2 linked regions of the Rhinolophus ferrumequinum genome follow. The protein of the gene in region 1 purifies or fractionates together with the protein of each later gene. This does not show direct contact. Links are inferred from orthologs where the notes say so. Each region holds a gene or a part of one and is shown on either strand. Other genes may lie near its edges. The genes, in order: SLC16A11 and EMB.

What was found.
Region 2: the proteins of SLC16A11 (region 1) and EMB purify together in Homo sapiens (co-immunoprecipitation; 3 studies listed by BioGRID and IntAct, counting the BioPlex papers as one, with this or other methods). This does not show direct contact. The link is inferred for Rhinolophus ferrumequinum from reciprocal best matches to the Homo sapiens genes SLC16A11 and EMB.

Annotation. Positions count from the first base shown.
Region 1 is NC_046304.1:12,268,171-12,277,779, forward strand, and holds the start of SLC16A11 (monocarboxylate transporter 11), read left to right. Parts: upstream 1-5,296; 5' UTR 5,297-5,439; coding exon of another isoform or gene 5,440-5,470; intron 5,471-7,098; exon of another isoform or gene 7,099-7,203; intron 7,204-7,323; exon of another isoform or gene 7,324-7,584; intron 7,585-7,810; exon of another isoform or gene 7,811-7,829; 5' UTR 7,830-7,835; coding exon 7,836-8,040; intron 8,041-8,303; coding exon 8,304-8,447; intron 8,448-8,595; exon of another isoform or gene 8,596-8,605; coding exon 8,606-9,373; intron 9,374-9,460; coding exon 9,461-9,609. UniProt on the Homo sapiens protein: Proton-linked monocarboxylate transporter. It catalyzes the transport of pyruvate across the plasma membrane.
Region 2 is NC_046290.1:30,704,814-30,714,187, forward strand, and holds the start of EMB (embigin), read right to left. Parts: upstream 4,023-9,374; 5' UTR 3,933-4,022; coding exon 3,590-3,932; intron 1-3,589. UniProt on the Homo sapiens protein: Plays a role in the outgrowth of motoneurons and in the formation of neuromuscular junctions.

The sequences.
Region 1 (9,609 bases):
CAGTTAGGATGTGAGTGTGGACATCTAGACTGGGGGAGAAGAGAAATGTATTTATTTATTGCTGCTATATTGATGCCCACTTCATGCCATTCATTATGTCAGGTCTTTTATACAGAGTATAGGTGTTTCTTCCTGTTGCTTGTGTGTATGTGTGGTGGAGGAGGGAGAAGTTTGTGGTAAAAATCAGAGGGAACAAATCTCATTAATAGTAACAAGGAAAAAGTCCACAGCAGAGTCTGGAGGAATGGACTCCTCCAGAGTAATCTTTGGTTTTCCAACCTCTCCAAGTCCCTTCAGGCACCAATGGGGAATCCATAGATGGCTTAGCACTTTTGGTTTCCTATTCAACACTGATTCTTTTTTTCTCCTTCCTTACTGACCCGAAATGGTATTTAGGAACCCACTCTACTCCATATAGTCATGTGCTTTAGGTGAATCTGGCTCTAGCACAGGCCCAGAGGTAGGACCTGATGACAGTAAGTCGGTCATGGTGGTGCCATCCCCCTTGTCAGTGGCTGGCTTAATCATGGACAAGGGATGTAAACTTGGCCATGGATGAAGAGCTATCTGCTGGGGACTGTAGGCAAAGATTTCCTGACTGCCACGGGGGATACACTGAAAGCGATGTGCTCATTTTCTTCTGAACATTGTTATACTTGAATGTCATATGTGAAACTGCTACAGCCATGTTGCAACCTTAAGAACAGGCCTGGACAACTCTGCCTTACACGTTAGATCTGCAGAATGTCCAATTTACATTCCTACAGCTTCAGGACACCTGTTATCTGACTGCCTGTCTCCTCCCACCTTGGCTTCTGATCCTGGTTGACACTACTCAGCTGGGAAGTAGATTCTGGCCCCCCAGGGCCACTGTAACCCCATGGCAGATCTAGGCGTTGTCAACGGAGTCCCCTAAGAGGCTGAGTCCTTTCAATCAGATGTGAGGTCCCAGGCTGGGATTGGGAAGGCTGACAGAGGGCCCAGAAAATTCAGAGGTAGCTAAGTTTGGGTACCATGTTTCCCCAAAAATAAGACCTAGCCAGACAATCAGCTCTAATGTGTCTTTTGGAGCAAAAATTAATATAATACCCAGTCTTATTTTACTATTAAGACTGGGTATAATATAATATAATACCAGGACTTATATTAATTTTTGCTCCAAAAGACGCATTAGAGCTGATTGTCTGGCTAGGTCTTACTTTCAGGGAAACAGGATACTACAGGGAGGAAATGATAGACATCACCTCTTGTCCCTCTGGTGTGACTGTCCCCTCTCAAATCAAGACATGAGGAGCACAGGGAACTGGAGTAAAGATGGGACTGAAGTAGAGATGAAGGGGTGACTACCTGGGGCTAGAAAACGGGAGGCAGTGAAATGGAAGGGAAATTCCATTTGTACAGTGCCTACCACGTGCCTAGAGTTGAACTGTTCCTTTCCAAGCCTTATTTAGCAGAAGTCTCACCAACAATCTAGATGCCTAGAAAATATTGGAGTTAAGAATCACGAACTTTGCTTTTAACAATTCCCCATGTTTGCTTTTGCAGGATGCATGCACATGGCTGTCTCGATTCAAATTCCATTCCTATCCTGACAACCGGTTTTTAGTGGATGTTTGGACTGCCTTGCACCTGAAATTCTTCCTCCGTTTGAGAAATTTATTATTATTATCATTATCATCATCATCATTATTATTACTATTATTCTACTTTATTGAGGTATGGTTGACATGTCCCACCTTATTTTTTTTGGTGGGAGGCAGAACCTATCTACCTGTAGACACTGAAAAGACCAAGTGTTTACTTTCTTGGTGTCCCTTCCAGCCACAATGAGAGCACATGACGAAGGTTCAGGGTCAATATTGACCCTGGACTTGGATTTAGAGCTAGTGGTGAATAAAGTAGAGAACACTTCCGAGCAGCAACAGTTTCTAGGCATTGTGGACGCAGAGAGCCAGCAGCGACATCTAGTGTCCAATGGTGACAGCAGCAGCCTTGGCGACCCATTTAGCCCTGTGGCAGTCTGTGTTCTGCCAAACTGAGTTCTTTAGCCTTCTTGATAATTCTGAGATCTACCCAGTATATCCTGTAATCAATCATTTCGCTCCTTAAATAACTTGGAGCGAGTGCCTATGATTTACAGCTAAGAACTTTGACATAGATGTTGGCCGAAGTCCCAGAATCAGAAAATGCCAGATAAGACACATTTGGAGATTTAGACACACAGACCAGGCTCAAACATATTAGCTGGGTGCTTCCTCCACCATCCTGATGCCCCTCCTGAAGACTGGGTAGTCCAGAGGCTCCAGACCTTTAGCACTTAAGGGGGCTAGGGAGGTGGGGGATGGTGACGGAGGGAAGGCATGGGGACTGGATTGGAAGATGCACTGGAAATGGACTTGGTAGAGGGGATGAGAGAAGTAATGTGGGGTAGGACTCCCACCCCATCCCAACCCATTCCAGGTCTTGTCTGAAACCTAGCTCAGCCTCAGCTCTGTCTTCATCAGTGCCAACTTCTACCTGACCATGGCCTCCCCCAGCCCTAGACTCAGCAGACTCCTTCCCCAGTCCCAGTCCCAACACAAAGTTCAGGAGACTCATGTCAGTTCTCCATTCCTGTGTAGATGTGTTCTCTGCACATAATGAGCCCCACTTGCCTGAGTGAGTGCACTTACCCTCCTGCTTCACTCCCCACTCCCAGTGCAGAGCACCTCAACAGATGTGCTCCCCTGGCCCTGAACCACAAACCCTGACCTTGTGATCTCCTCCTTTCCCGGGTCAAGTTCTTCTTCCACTTTTCTAGACCCTGGGTCTGGGCTTTGAGGTGTATGCTGACTTCCCATGGCCTGGTCTCTCGGTGAGCTAGGGAAGGAAAGGATTCTGGTGGGTGAGCGGTGAGAGGCAGCTCTATTAGGCACTTAGAAGCCCAAGATCAGCTGGGCCAAACACCACAAAGTCTCATATTTTTGTGTACCTCAAAGAGAGCCAGGTTTCTTGTGGGTAATACCATCTGTCCTTGCCTGTCCCCTTCCCTCCCATCCACCTTCTATAGAGGGAGCCCCCAGTGGGTGTACCCAAGGAATGGCTAGGCTCAGTTCAAGGCTTCCCCAAGGTTGCAGACCCTTGAGGCCCCCAAAACCTCTCACAGGGGCTCCCATGAGAAAACTCCAGAGCAGTTTCAGAGTCCACAAATACAGACACACTCCCAGATCCTGTAGTCCCCAAAGCAAATTACGTACAGACCTTGACCCTCTCTTTTGATCTCCCTAAAGACTCGACCTGGCTCAGTATCTACTTCTGGGACTTTCTCCATGTGGGCAAGCATTATCAGTTTGGTCCATCAACAACCCCTTCGTGTGATGGTACCACATCCTGTTGAGTCCCTTGTTCAGTGTTTCTCTCATTCAGTCATTCGTCATTCACATTTGGCACCTTTGGGTGTCAAAGATCCAGAAACCAAGAATGCAAGGTTCCACCTCCAGGGCAATATAGGGGAAAGATAAAAATGAATGATATCACCGCAGTCTGAGAAGTGCTCTCACGAGGGTTAATTAGGCAAAGGGGGAGGTATCTAATGCAGATTAGGAGTTGTTCAGAGGCCTTCCGAGAGGAAAACCTGCTGCACCATCAGTGGAGAAGACTTGGGGAGAAAAACATAAATAATGTATCTAGTCATATAAAACATTATTTTCCTATGAAAATATGCACCAGACTATGAAGGAGGATGCAAAATTCCACATGAATTTTCAATGTAAAACAAGATATTTCCGAGAAACTTCCCACACATGAACGGTCTATAACCCCAGACTCTCCTGACGCCTTAACTGTGGTATAAGTCCTCTTTCCTCTGTGTTCAGCTTCCAGTATTAGTGAATATTCGTGAAAGCTATGTCCAAGTGAATCAGTCTTTGGGAAAACATCTACATTCCTTAACCTGACCTTTAAGACCTTTCATGATGGGACCTTCTGCCCCTACATTGTTCTTCTCTACCCTCACTGTTCTCCATACAGCAGCTATTTACAGCGCTCCAAACAATAAACAATGTGCCAAGCTGGTTTATCCCTTTGTGATTTTTCCACAGTCTGTTCCCTTTGCCTGGAATGCCCTTGCCCACACATCCATCTGGCAAACTCCTACTCATCCTTCAAGACCCAGCTCAAAGAGCTCCTCTTCTGTGAAGCCTTCCCAGCAAGCCCTAGCAGAATGAGTCAGTTCCTCCCATGCACTACTCTATGGTGCGCGTCCCTCTCCTTGTGCTGAGATTTTTTTATTTCACTTTTTCTCTACTAATGATTTTGGGAGCTTGGAGGGGAGAGACTGTATCATTTATAATTTTATCCCTAGCCCTAAGCATAGCATCTGGCATAGTAGGTGTCTATGTTTTGTTTGAAGGAGTGAATGAACAAAACTTAATTTGATTCCTTTCTTCTCTTTTGTTTTTAGAGTCAAGATAGAGAGACCAGGATTTTCTTATGAACTCTGGAAAATGCTAAGAAAATCACTCACCACATAAAAAAAAAAAAATCCCATTTAACCTTTTTGTGGCTATTCACATCTTACAACCCGTGTAGTTCTACTGAGAGCTCAGCAGACCAATGTGGATCTTTGACCTTGAGACATTAGTAGATGTAGACAAGTAGTGAAAGCACAGTGATGCTGAAAGGTCTAGTCAGATTTCTCCAAGTCACAACAATAGCAGCAATAGGGGCTGACACACATCATGTTCCAGGCACTGTTTTATGTTCCTTACTCATACATGTATACACAGCAACTCATTTAATCCTTATTAAAAACCCTATCAGGTAGCTACTATTATTATCCCCATTTTAGAGATGAGGAAACTGAGCCACAGAGGGATTGAAAAATTTGCTCACAATAATACAGCTAATAAGTGGCAGAGATGAGATTCAAACCCAGGAAGTCTAGCTTGGGAATCCATTCTCCCAATTTCAACTTTATATAAACTCCATGAGCAGAAGACATATAGTGATGGCAATTTTGGCTAAGAATATAGGGAACTTGAGGTAGAAGAGAAATGTTCTCTTTCACAACCAATCACCCCAGTCCCAGGCTCTGGACACCCTCTGGGTTCGCAAGTATCCTTTAAAGGTGCTCAGCATAACTATACAACTCCCAGACCTAGAGGGCCCCTGTCTCCTCTTTGGTTTGCATTTCTACTTCACCACAGAGAGGGAGTAATTTGTTTCAGTTGGCTTTATTCAACTTGGGACAGAGTCCTCGCCACCCATCTCAGGAGTGGGCTCAGTGCCCTTGTCGGTGGCTGAGGATCTGCTAGCTCCACCTCCCAGGTGCCTTTTACAACAGCAACCCAGGCTAGAGAAACCAGTGAGACCACTTTCCTACGATATACGTGGCAGGATCTTAAACCTTCGTGGATTCCTGTGCCCTACCCAGGACATTTCAAGCAGAGGGCATGACATATGCAAGAATTCAGGAGTGAGAAAAAGACAGGTATGTCCATGGAGCAGGTAAGACTATGGCTGGTGGAAGGGTATATGAAAGAGGAGGGAAATGGAATAGAAATGTATCCTGGGTCTACTTTTAGTTGTGAAAGGCTTTACACCCAAAGTTCAAAGTCAGATAATTAAGTTCGCGAACTTATTCTAGAAAAACTGCTACATACCTCATTGCTGAATATCACTACAGTCACCTTTGAAGTACTCCCCTTGGGAAGCTACGCACCGATGCCAGCGCCTAGTCCACCCTTCAAAGCAATTTTGGAACTCTTTTTCTGGAATGGCCATTAGAGCCGTCGTCACATTACCATTGATGTTTTGAATGTCATCAAAATGTCTTCCTTTTAATATTTCCCTTGTCTTCAGGTAAAGAAAGAAGTCATTTGGGGTCAGATCAGGTGAGTAGGGAAGGTGTTCCAATAGTTATTTGTTTACTGGTTAAAAACTCCCTCACAGACAGTGCTGTGTAAGATGGTGCATTGTCGTAATGTGAGAGCCATGAATTATTGGCAAAAAGTTTGTCACGTAGCCTTTTTAGCACTTCCAAATAGTAAACTTGGTAAACTGTTTGTTCAGTTGGTACAAATTCATAATGAACAATTCCTCTGATATCAAAAAAGGTTAGCAACATCATTGCAACAAGTTCACAAACTTAATTGTCAGACCTCATAAATTGAGTTTTTCTCCCCCTCCTATTGTCTGTAGAGAGTCATCAAGGTCAGGCTGTGTTTGTTAGGTTTACAGTTTCACTACTTAAGCTGTTGTTTTCTTTACTTGCAGATACTTCTCAACAATTGGGAAGTACTGCCATCATGTGGCTTTTGGGTGATACATGCTCCAAACTGTAAATAGCTGAATTTTCTGATATTGTTTCATAATTAAAGAACACATCTCTTGATTCAAATAGCTGAAGTAAAACAATGGTAACCTTAATCCTAATGTAAAAAGGATAATTTTTATGAAGTTTTTCAAGAAATCAGTACCTGGGTTCAATTCTTGGATTTCTTACTTTGTTTTTAAAATTCTAATCGCTCAATCTTTAGCGATTCCAATCACAAGGATCCTTTCTTTTCCCAGTAAACCCTATCTTAGAATTATAAACTCTTTGGCTCTGAAAAGGCTCTGCCATTTGCAGGCCAATTTGGAATCAAACTGTCTCCAGGCCATCATGTCCTTTCACTGTGGCAAATTCTGTTTCAGTCGTAGGTCTGTTCTGCTTGTATGGTCCCACAGTTGGACAGACCCAAATTCAAATATTTTCACCATTTTTTAGCTGGGTGATTTTGGGCAAGTCACCTAACCTCTGGAAGCTTCAGTTACTTCATCTGTAAAATGAGGATGGCACCATCATCACAGGGTTATTGTGAGGATGAAGAGAGGACATGTGTAAAAATCTCCTGGCACATCACAGCCCCTCATACATAATAAGGGAGTCCTCTTCCTTCACCTGAATCTTTGAGGGCATATTCTTGTAGAGCGTGCAATAAGCACTCAGTGGAGGTCTGTAATTTGATAGCCAAGATTTACCTGGTCTTCCAGCTACGTTTCCTGAGAACAAAACTACTCATTGCCTCAGGCGTTGGGGGACCCCCCCCTCCCCGTTTCAGTGCGTTGCCTACCAACCTTGAGCTTGCTGGGGATTGCAATCCACGCGTCTTCTCCGTGTGCAGCAGGCGGCAGATGCGTGGCCATGGGCAGGGTGGCATTCTTTCCTTGCTTTTTCGGGGGCTGGTGTGTGTGTGTGTGTGTGTGTGTGTGTGTGTGTAATTTAATTTCCGTGAGGGGGGGAGGGGAGAGAGAGAGAGAGAGAGAGAGAGAGAGAGAGAGAGAGAGAGAGAGATTTAATCCCCGTGGGACTCAGCTTCTGGCCTCACCCTGGGCTCCGCGGATTGGCTGTCTCAACTCGCCTCCGCCCTGTGTACCACCGCGTCCCAGGTGGCTCAGGCCCCCAGCAGTGATCTGTTTACCGAGAGAGCCCAGCCAAGTTGGGCTCCCTCTCTGCACACACTCCCCTCTGTGGACCGGCCCGCACAGGAAACGGGGAGAAATCAGGCAGAGCCATTCCTCGCCCTTTCCCTCCCCTCATCGCCCGGAGAGATCGGGTAAGGGGTAAGGAGTGTGGCGGGAAGGGCAGTCCCAAGCCAGGATGTCACCCAGTCCCGGTACCTCACTCGTACCCAGGAATTCTATGCCCAGGCCCAGCTCCTGCTCCCTCCACCCCCGCCCTTTTGTGCTCAGGGTGACGAGCCCTCCCTGGGCAAGCAGCCCCCAGAGGCTGGGTGTCAGGGATGCCAGGTCCCTAGAAGAGGCACAGACATGGAGATTTCATTCACAGGTGTTCCCTCCTCCCCCAGACAGCGATGATGACCCCCAAGCTGGCCGGACCTCCAGACGGGGGCTGGGGCTGGGTGGTGGCGGCCGCAGCCTTCGTGGTGAATGGGCTCTCCTACGGGTTGTTGCGTTCCCTGGGCCTTGCCCTCCCTGACCTCGCGGAGCACTTTGACCGAACTGCTCAGGACACTGCGTGGGTCAGCGCCCTGGCCCTAGCCGTGCAGCAGGCAGCCAGTGAGGGGGGACCCCGAGGTGGGAGGCAGGAATGGGGTGGAGGAGTCGTTGAGTGTAGTGGTGGGGGACCCACCTGATTACCAGATAACCTGAGAAAGGGCGACGGGTGGAACGAAATTCTAGAAGAGAGGGTCATGAGGTTAAGGGGAGGAGCTGTTAGGCTAGGGGAAGAGTTTTAGGTCTAGGCAAACAGCCAATGAGAAGTGTTGAATCGAGTTTTGGGGCTCAGGGGCGTGTCTTCCGTTTACTCTGCCTCCTTCTAGGCCCAGTGGGCAGCGCACTGAGCACCCGCTGGGGAGCACGCCCGGTGGTGATGGTTGGGGGCATCCTTACCTCACTCGGCTTCATCTTCTCGGCTTTTGCCGGCAGTCTGCTACACCTCTACCTTGGCCTGGGCGTCCTTGCTGGTGAGGGGAGAGGATACCCGGGTCATTACGGGGTAATGGTGAAAATAGGAGCTGGTTGGGGGCTGGAGGCCAACCGGACAGCGGCCCCCTCCAAGGAGCAGGGCTGGGATTATTGGGGCAGGCATCCCTGGTCCTCACCCCATCTTACCCATTCACAGGCTCCGGCTGGGCCCTGGTGTTTGCCCCTGCCGTCGGGACCCTCTCCCGTTACTTCTCCCGCCGTCGAGTCTTGGCTGTGGGGCTGGCCCTCACGGGCAGCGGGGCCTCCTCGCTGCTCCTGGCCCCCGCCTTGCAGCTCCTCCTGCATACTGTCGGCTGGCGGGGGGCCCTGCTCCTCCTTGGTGCCATTACCCTCCACCTCATTCCCTGTGGAGCCCTTCTGCGACCCCTAGCGCTTCCTGGCGACCCTCCAGCACCACCCCACGGACCCCTAGCTGCCCTCGGCCTAGATCTCTTCACTCGCCGCTCCTTCTTAGTTTTTGCTCTGGGCACAGCCATGGTGGGGGGTGGGTACTTCGTCCCCTATGTGCACTTGGCCCCTCACGCTTTAGACCAAGGCCTAGGGGGGTATGGAGCAGCGCTGGTGGTGGCGGTGGCGGCGGTGGCAGATGCAGGCGCCCGGCTGGTCTGCGGGTGGCTGGCGGACCAGGGCTGGGTGCCCCTCACACGGCTGCTGGCGGTGTTTGGGGCTCTGACAGGACTGGGGCTGCTGGCCGTGGGGCTGGTGCCGGTAGTGGGAAACAAGGAGGGCTGGGAGGGCTCTCTGCTGGCCACAGCTGGGGCCTACGGGCTGAGCGCCGGCGGTTACGCCCCACTGGTTTTCGGTGTGCTTCCGGGGCTAGTGGGCATCGAAGGTGTTGTACAGGCCACGGGGCTGGTGATGATGCTGATGAGCCTTGGGGGGCTTCTGGGCCCTCCCCTGTCAGGTAAGGACCTGAGCCACCATTTCACCTCGCCAACATCCTCTGCCCCTGGGATCTGAGGCCTCTAAATTCCTTTCCCCTTCCTCTCAGGCTTCCTAAGAGATGAGACAGGAGACTTCACTACCTCCTTCCTCGTGTGTGGCTCTTTGGTCCTCTCTGGCAGCTTCATCTACATGGGGCTGCCTGGGGCGATGCCCTCGTGCCATCCAGCCTCAAGTCCAGCCACCGCTCCCCCTGAG
Region 2 (9,374 bases), on another chromosome or scaffold:
AATAAATGTTTTATTTAAACATTCACCATATTGTTTGATCACACTATATATACATATACATACATATATTTATATACATTAGTACTATACCCATTATGTAAATAAATATATGCCATATGCCTCATACATATAGTTACACATATACACATTTATATCTATATATCTGTTTATACAGATGTAAATATAAGAGTGGAAAAGACAGATATTTAAAGTCATGAATTCACACTAAGGCTGCAAATTACAATCTAACACCACAAGGTTCATTCTAGTTGTCCGCCTTTATTTTCTTCTTTACTGCTGAAAAACCTGTATCTTATTATCCTTACTAGCTTTATTGAATTGCGCAAACACCCTATATATAACTCATCTCCCTTTGCCGCTGCCACACCTGACCCCAAAGATGTCTTGCTCACTCAGGCTCCAACACCCTGCGCTGTCTACTCTCCTGCATGCTTTACCTCCATCCCCTGATCAGCATTAGACACTACATGTCCTGCAGGCCCTGCGCTTAAGGCCTAGTCACTCTGCTGAGCTCTGAAGCCCAGCACCAGGCCAGTCTTCTGCAGGAGCGCCCACCTCCCTGTGCTCAGGCTCAAACACTACAACAGGGCTACTCTCCTCCTGGACACCATCCTGACCCGGCACAGCTTCTAATTCCCTGATCTGGGCCCCTCTGGCTCCCACCCTCCAACACAGGAGGATACCCACTTCCTGGCTATAGGCCTCATTCTGGGAAGGAAAAGAAAAGGGACAAGAGGCGGGGACAGAAGACCAGGAAAAGGAAGAGACAGTTGAACCAAATCTTTAAAAATGTTTACATAATGTAATTTTAAATATGATAAACTTAGTATCACTATTTTAATGTATCAGATACAACCCTATTAAATATAGGCTTATGTCAACCTGTTCCTTTGGACATATTAAACACATTGAAAGGTTAAAAACTGCTGAAGTTCTACTTAGATATAGACTGACACAATATCAGGCACATCTAGGTGCTCAAATAATATTTATTCCAATAAATATTTCTTATTAGGCAGTTGTTCTGGGGTGGGGGGGCATATAGAAAGGATGGGGGTTGATAAAGCATGTAGGCCATGTCACTCTAGAAGTTAAAAATGATCATTTCAAATGACTCCCCTGCAAACATTTTTCAAAAGATAAACACAAGCCAGTCTCTCAATTTGTTCCACGTAATAGTAAAAGCAAAGATGTTTGAATATTCCCACTTAAGTCATATTTCTCCTTACAGAGATATTTTACTATTCTTATTTAACTGAAACAGCCTGAAAGAGTTAAGGTGAGTCCTGTGCCTCACTGTATTGCAGGACTCACACTGTGTCAGCATGTCCTTCAGCTCAAATCAAGCATTTAGCTTCACAACTGCGCTCTTTGTCAGTGGTTCCAAACTTTCATAGACATCCAATTATCTCGGAGACAACTGAGTATTGTGTTTAAGAAGACAGGCTCAGGGGTTGGATTGAACAATGCTAAATTTCCTGCTCTACTGCTTAATTAATTATGTGTACTTAGGCGATCATTTAACCTCCCTAAATTCCAATTTCCTCATCTCAAAGTCAGGGCCAATAAGAGCTAACCCATAGGGCTATCAACTGCATAATGCAGTGTGTAGGCAATGCACATAATTATATAGTAAATGTGAAAAATTATAACCATTTTTATGAAAATTTGGCCAATAGTCTTAGGTTTCTAGAACATCTGTATCTAAGTTCAAAGCATCTAGATAAAAAGTAGCAGTAAACTTCACAATGTCCTTTAGCAAAGAGAAAATTGAGTCTCACAGAGATCAATACAGAATCTATAAAACAAGATGAAGTTGTCTGACAATTTTTAATTCTCCCTTAAAATTGGATGCTAACTTCATGCCTTTTATATGGCATATTATTCCATATTAAGTGAAGCTAATAGGACAGGACTTTTATACACACACACACACACACACACACACACACACATATATACATATATATATACAATGTCTGTGTATGTATATATATGTGTATATATATACACACAGACATTTGCCATAATACATACACCATCCCATTTAATTACAACTTTGTTAATTTATTCCACTTTTACTTGTTTCCTACTTTCTCTCTAGAAGTCTGCTCTGAATGTCAAATTGAACCTGACTCTGATGCCAACAGAATAAATATCCACCCAACGGTGCATTCTCTAGGCCATATCATTTTAAAGTACAGGTTTTCAACCTGCATAGGATCACATGATTAAAATAACAAGGCAATTAAAAAATCTCTTGATGTCCAGGCTGAATCCCAGGCCAACTGAATCAGAATTTTTGAAGGCAGGATCCAGGTAGTATTTTTAAACTCCCTAGTAATTCTAACATACAGCCAAATAGAGAACCAACGTTCTAGGACTAACCCAGAATGCATTGGTCCTCACAACTGCAATATTTTGAGGTGAAGGATGGGTGAATCAGGGATAGAAGAATTAAGGATAGCTTGAAGAGGAAAACTGTGCTGGACAATTCTTTTAAGTGGTACGAATAAAGAAGAGATGTGGAGCAAGGAAATTTGGAAACTGAAGCAGCCCAAAAGTGTTTTGTCCAAGTTGTGAACGAGGCCTTTTAAAGGACATTTATTTAAAAAAATAATAATAATAATCGTATCTTTGATTATCTTTCCATCTTTTATAGATTATGAAGAATCCACATGCTATAAACTCATAAAAATGAATTCCTATGAAAAGTTGAAAGCCTTGTGTAGAACAATATCCCAATTTTAGTTAACTGATGGGCAATGTTTGCCAACTTGTGAGGCGGTGTATTATCCTAACTGGCTGCTAACACTGAAATTCATAACGCAGGAATGTGTATTAGAAAGTAGATTAGATGGAACACTTTCATCATAAAAAGTAACTATAAACACGTGAAGCTAGAATGGCAAATTCGCTTTTGGTTTTGATAATGTTCTGCACATAAATACCACTTTCAAAGTGTCTTTAACGAAACAACCACCACGGAAAACTTCATTGTCAAAGAGCATGGTGTAAAAAAAGATACACAATCCAATGAGTTGTGGGCTTTGTTTGGTTGCTTGGTTGTCGTTGTTAAGTTGTTGTTTCACATTCCCAAAGCCAATCTACCCGCTAGGAAGAAGAGGAGGTGATATTTAAGCCTTACTATCAATTCAGATGAAGAGCGTCGGCCTTGGAGACTATGGCTTTCGGAATACTGCCCCTTTCGCAGAGGCCATTCGCGGCCAGCGCCCGCCGGCACCCACACACCCTACCGCCCTCTCCTTAGGAGCACCCTGACACTGCCCTACTCCCAACTCCCAGGCACTGTTGTTTCCAAATTCAGGAGCCGGGGCGGAGGAACACGAGCCTCCCAGTCCCCTCTTCCAGCTTAGGTAACCCACGCGTGGCCAGTGGGAGGGAGAAGGCGGCCGCCCGGGTCCACCTGCGGCCGCCAGCATCCTCGCGCCTCTCACCAACACCCCCCGCCTGGGTGCGCCGGCCAGCCCTCCGCTAGCGGGGACGCACCTCCCGCGCCCCTTCCTTCCCGCCCTCAGTCCCCTCCTCCGTCCTGCACCCGTCACACCTGGGGCATGGCCGTCCGCCAAGCTCGGGCGCGCAGCGGCCAGGAAGCACAGGAGGACCAGCGGCAGGGGCGGAGGCGCCGGGGGTCCCCGCCGGCAAGGGAAGGTGCGCATGGTTGTCGGTGAGTCCGCCGCTCTTCTCACCCAGGCGGCTCCCTCGGCAAACCAGTGTCGGTGCCTGGAGTCCCTGCGCATACTCGCTGGTGGCCCGGCGCCCGATGCCAGTTCCAGGGACGCGACACGCGAGAAAAGGCGAAGTAGGAGGGGCCCGGCTGCCCTGCCCTGCTCCCTGGAGACACTCTCACCGCGTCCAAGGCCGACCCAGAACTGCGCCCGGCCCCCCATCAATTATGCAGCGCGCTGTCCGCTGCAGGCGCGCCCGGATGTGCGGTGGCCACATCCGAGCGGCATCCTCTCCAGCCTCTGCCATCTGGGCTCTGGCAGGTCTGAGACGGAGCCTGCTAAGGACGCGGGGCACTTGCTGTCTAATTGATCTCCTGTGGGAGGGGTTGAAACTATATCGTATATATATAATGTTTATATGTCTGCAGACTATCCTTTGCAGTTCATTTGCAGCAGGGTTCACTTATTTACTTTGATGGGACAAATGAGAGGAGAACACTCTTCGCAACCCCCTCCCCTGACACCCCTGGGTTATTAAGGAGACAAGTTTGCGTTACATCCTGGACTAATGTTTCTTTGCTCTGTGTACCAAGTACCAATTGCACACACCCTCGCCTCCAGTCTCTGAAGGCTTAACCGGTTCTCTCCAGATGAAGGTTTCAGAGTCCCAAGGCCCTACAGTGTGTGTGTTTTCTTTTCCTTTTGTTTCTTGGCCTAACAGGTTTTGAGGAACCCCTAGAGCTCAACAAACAAAAACTACCGAATATAACTACTATGTAAACTGCACAAACCTGTGGACCTGAGTCGAACTTGAAGACTGTTTACAATGCTATTCCTTACCCAGTGAGGCTGTAGCTTGGAGTTTTCAGTGCTCTTGACCAAATAAAATAAAACAACTAAAAGCTATTGCTTTGTCAGAGCAGGGAGGAAGAATCTCCATTATAACAAAAGAGTAAGATCTGATGATTCCCCAGGAAGTTATAACACTTGAAAAGGTGTTTGTTTTGTTTTTGATTATTTATCCTGAGCTTTGTTTTCTTTCTCTTTGTTTTTTGAACATCAGGTTCAGATATTCATAAATTCGAAATATATCTGTGTCCAGAAAAAGAGGGTTGAAAGCAAATGTTACATACAAATTTTAAAAATTGAAGTGCTGCACGAGAGGTACACTCAGTTCAGGCAGGAATATTTACTTTTTATTTGGTATGCGTTACTAAGATATTCTACTGTTTCTGGTTCGACAATGGAAAAGAGTGTAGATTATTTCAATCAGTGTTGAGAGACTGTGAGTAATACAATTCATTAACCCATATAAAATATCTACCACGTTGCAAGCACTGTGTTCAAAATAGGCTGCATGTACTGCAAGAAACACACACACATGCACTCACACACACACACACACAGTAATTAATCTAGAGAGCTATTTATCTATAACTGCAAATCTAAGAAAAGCCTCCTCTTCTCAGTCAGAAAATTATGGTTATAATGAGTAAGCCTTTCTGAACAAAGCCTTATGAGACCTTGAAGAACTAAACATTTTACCTGACGGCGCCCTCAGGACCTTGGCCCAACTTGCTAAACCCAAATTGCCTGATCATTGGTTGCTAAATCACACCTGTTTGCTGTGCTGCATCGTGTCACAGAAAAAACTACAAACATTTGCCAATGCCTGCAGAGAGTTTTAATGGTAAGCACTTCTCAAAACAAACTGAACTGTAACAGATCTCCCCCATTTAGTCCTGTATAATCTTGACTCTCAAATTCACCTTTCTTCAAATAAGCTGACCTCATTTAAAGGACCTCATTTATCTTTCCAGTTGAATTTGTCTGCGTATGAACTGGAAAAAATGACTTGCCCAAGTTGAGGCTAATTCCCACTATCACTTTTGTTGTTAGAGCAGAATAAGTTGAGAAATATAATTCTTGTTTCACTAAGCATCTTGAAAGTCTTTTTCCCATCGATACTATTTATACGTAGATATTGACAGTTTTAGCTTTATCCCCACTCATTTCAAATGCTCCATATCCTTTCAAACCAGTTTATATAATAGCTTCCCTGTATGGCTTTTTCTGATCTTTCCAAACTGAAATTTCCCTTCATGGTGAATTAAATGTGGTCACAAATGCTTTGACATTCTCCTCATCATGAGGTGTGCTGAGGAAGGAGAGTCCTGTGTTTCCTCCCCTCAGGATGGGTGGACTCTGTGACCTATTGAATATTGCTGAAGTAACACTGAGTTTCCAAATCCAAACCACAACAGCACCCACTTCCTTTCTCCTCACTCTGACAAGACAACTGCCAGGAAAGAAATATGACTATCATATTTCTGTAAGAAGCCCAAACCACATAGAGCACCCAGAACAATGAGATGCCATGTGGAAAGAGAGCAGCCGGCCAAGGAGCAGTAGGTGCTAGATTTGTAGCACCTACTGCTCCTTGGAGCCTTTAGACAAGGCCAGCCAAGCACCTCTTGATGATCCCAGGTGATGCTCCTTGGAGCAGAAGAATTGCCTGGGTGATCCCTGCTTGAACTCTTGGCCCGCTCAGTTGTGAGGTATAATAACACTGTTGTTTGAAGCCACTAAATGTTGGGGTAGTTTGAGTCACCACAAGAAATAACCCAAACACTCTCCTCTGAACTCATACTGTCCCTAGGATTAATTTGACAATTAATAATTTACAGACTTGTGACTTGGCCTTCATTCTTGGCTTGAATTTCCATTTAAATATTTTATTGGTATTCAACTTGTTACGTGATTCCATCTTCTTTCCCAATTACATTATAACTTTTCAGTACCTGGAAATGATTCTATAATTCTTTATATTTTCTACAGTGTCTTAAAATAGTACTTGTAGTGTGCTCTCTTTTTACTTATTAGAAAATTAGTATAGGAAAAACGTTTTTTTTTTATAAACTTATGTTTATAAAATAATGCTATAATTGTTTTTTCTTTTAAGATATAAGCTGTCATTGAGTGAAAAGTGTGTGACAGTTTCCTGGGAAGGTGTGAAAGTGAGAATGAGAATGTGGATATAGGTTACTGCTTATTGAAAAATAATATTTTACTTAAATAATATTGGAGGAAAGCATTATATCAGACAGTAATATGTAAAGTACTAAAAATGAAGACAAAAATTTGCTACTGATGATTACTAGAAAATAAACAAAAACCCAAAAGTACAAACACAAGTCATAGGTTATGGTAGCTAAAATTCTGCAATGCCCCCAAGATTCCTGTCCCCCTGGTTGTGTGCCCTGGCTGCCCTTGAAGGTGGGCAGGCTTGTGAATATGATGGAGTAGTCACTGCCTTGAGTAGGTGACATTATAGCAGGCTGAAATATTCCTAGGGAGAAAGATGCCCTCATGCTTATCTGGAAGAAACAGTCACATTGTGAACTAGCTGACTGTTGAGAGGAACGACCTCCAGGAGCTGAGCATGTCAGTCCTACAACCCCAAGGAATTGAATTCTGCCAACAACCAGTGAGCTTGGAAAAAGCTCCAAATCCTTATAGGAGATTGCTGCCCCAGCCAACACCTTGATTGCAGCCTGGTGAGACCTGAATAGAGTACCCAGGACTTCTGACCCACGGAATCTGTGAAATAATAAATTTGTGTTAAACAACTAAGTTTGTTGTGTAGGGAATTTGTTATGTAGCAATAAAAAACTGATGCAGGGGAGCACATCAGATTTGATTCTAGTCACACTACAAGAAAATAATTATATATATTTGAACAAGATAAGATGTGGATATGGAAGGAAAAAGAAGAAAGTACTCTACTCACCTCTGTATACTAAAAAGGATAAATGAAAAGTTCCAGAGCTACTCAGAAGGTTGTATCATTTCTAAATTGGAACCTGTGACCAACTGATAGTCATTTTCTCTCCTCTGGAAGGAAAATATATATGTGTATGCATGTGTATTTGTGTATTTACATGCATGTACATGTATATACACACATATATAGTGTGTACATATACATGTATATATTTTTAATTAAATTATTTACCAACATAGGGAGATCCGTTGATCTCAGGGATATAAGTCCTCCACCTCATCCCAGGAGATAAATCATAATTGGTCTGAAGCAATGAGTATAATCTCACTCCCCTTAGCAACGGTATGTCTAAGGGGAAGCATAGCTAAATGAGATAAAAATAGCAAATCTATGGAGGCCTCCTGTCATCAAAGAGATCATCAAAGAGATCAAAATCCTTAAACAGAGAAAGATTTTTGCCACATCCTTTTGACACCTTCTTTCAACCTTGAATATAGCCTTGATGCCAGGATTGGCAGTGGTAACTCTGCAATTATGTGGTGACCAGCTAACTTTTCCAAAAGTAGCGGAGGAAAGAAAAAAGAAACCTGGCTTCTTGGTGATATCACCGAGCTGCTGCACCAGCCCTGAGATACCTACCTCCTGACCTGTGTAAAACAAGAACTATTAGTGACAGCACTATTGTTTGGATTTTCAGTTAAATGGCAGCTGATGACATTCCTGTCTTCCAGAACTTTCTGTACCTTGCCTTAATTTAAATAAAAGCCTTATACTGTTTCCATACGAGATTCTCCTTCTACGTCCTCATTTAATAACTCACCTTTGCTTTGGGGATAATATGCAATATCTAAGGCTTTTTATGATCTGGCCCTTATTGAACTCTAACTTACCTTTCAACATCTTCCCTCACCCGAACTCTATTCATGATAAATACTTGAAATATGCCCAACGTCAGCTGTCCCGTGTGCATCATTGACTTTACGTCTCATTATTTTTTCTATTTATTTTTATTTTTCAATTACAGATGAAATGCAATTATTTTATATTAGTTTCAGGTGTATAGCATGGTGGTTAGACATTTATATAATTTGCAAAGTGACCCCCTGGTAAGCCTAGTACCCACCTGGCATCATATGTAGTTGTTACAGTATTATTGACTATATTCCCTATGCTGTACTTTACATCTCCATGATTATTTTGTAACTACTAATTTATACTTCTTAATCCTTTCACCTTTTTCACCCACCTACCAACCCCTCTCCAATTTGGCAACCTCTTTTACTCTCCCCTCTCCTCCTCTGACCTGCCCTGCCCTTTTTTTCTGTTGACTTTTGGAATAGTATTGCCTATAGCTCTACTGCCTAATCCTCACTTGAATTTCTGTGTGCCCTTTTCTCCAGAAAATTCTCTGATTATCCCTCTTTAAGAACTTCTTCTCGGGCTCCCACACATCTTCTGTACCCTCTTATCCCAATTTTTTGTGGATGATGCTATAATCATCTGTTTTATTTCCATTGTTTAGTTTCCTAAATGCTGAAACAGTGCCTGGTTTCCATTTGCATCCTATGTGCCCCAGCACACCATTGAAGAATGAAAGAATGAAACTCAAAAGCTACAAATGGATATTCTTTGAAAAGTAACCATCTCCTGGAGTGTCCCCCACCCACCCTCCCTTCCCAGGGATGACGGGTATCCATTGCTGCCTTCTTCCAGGGATATTCTAAATCTATGCAAAATGTTTCTGGGTACCTGTGCCTTCCACACGGAAGACGGCATCCTGTGCTCACTGTCCCACACCCAGCTTTTCTTCTTCTGTAGTATATCTCCTTCTTCCATTTAGAGCTTTCCCCTTTAAACAGCTAAATATTATTCCTTTCTGT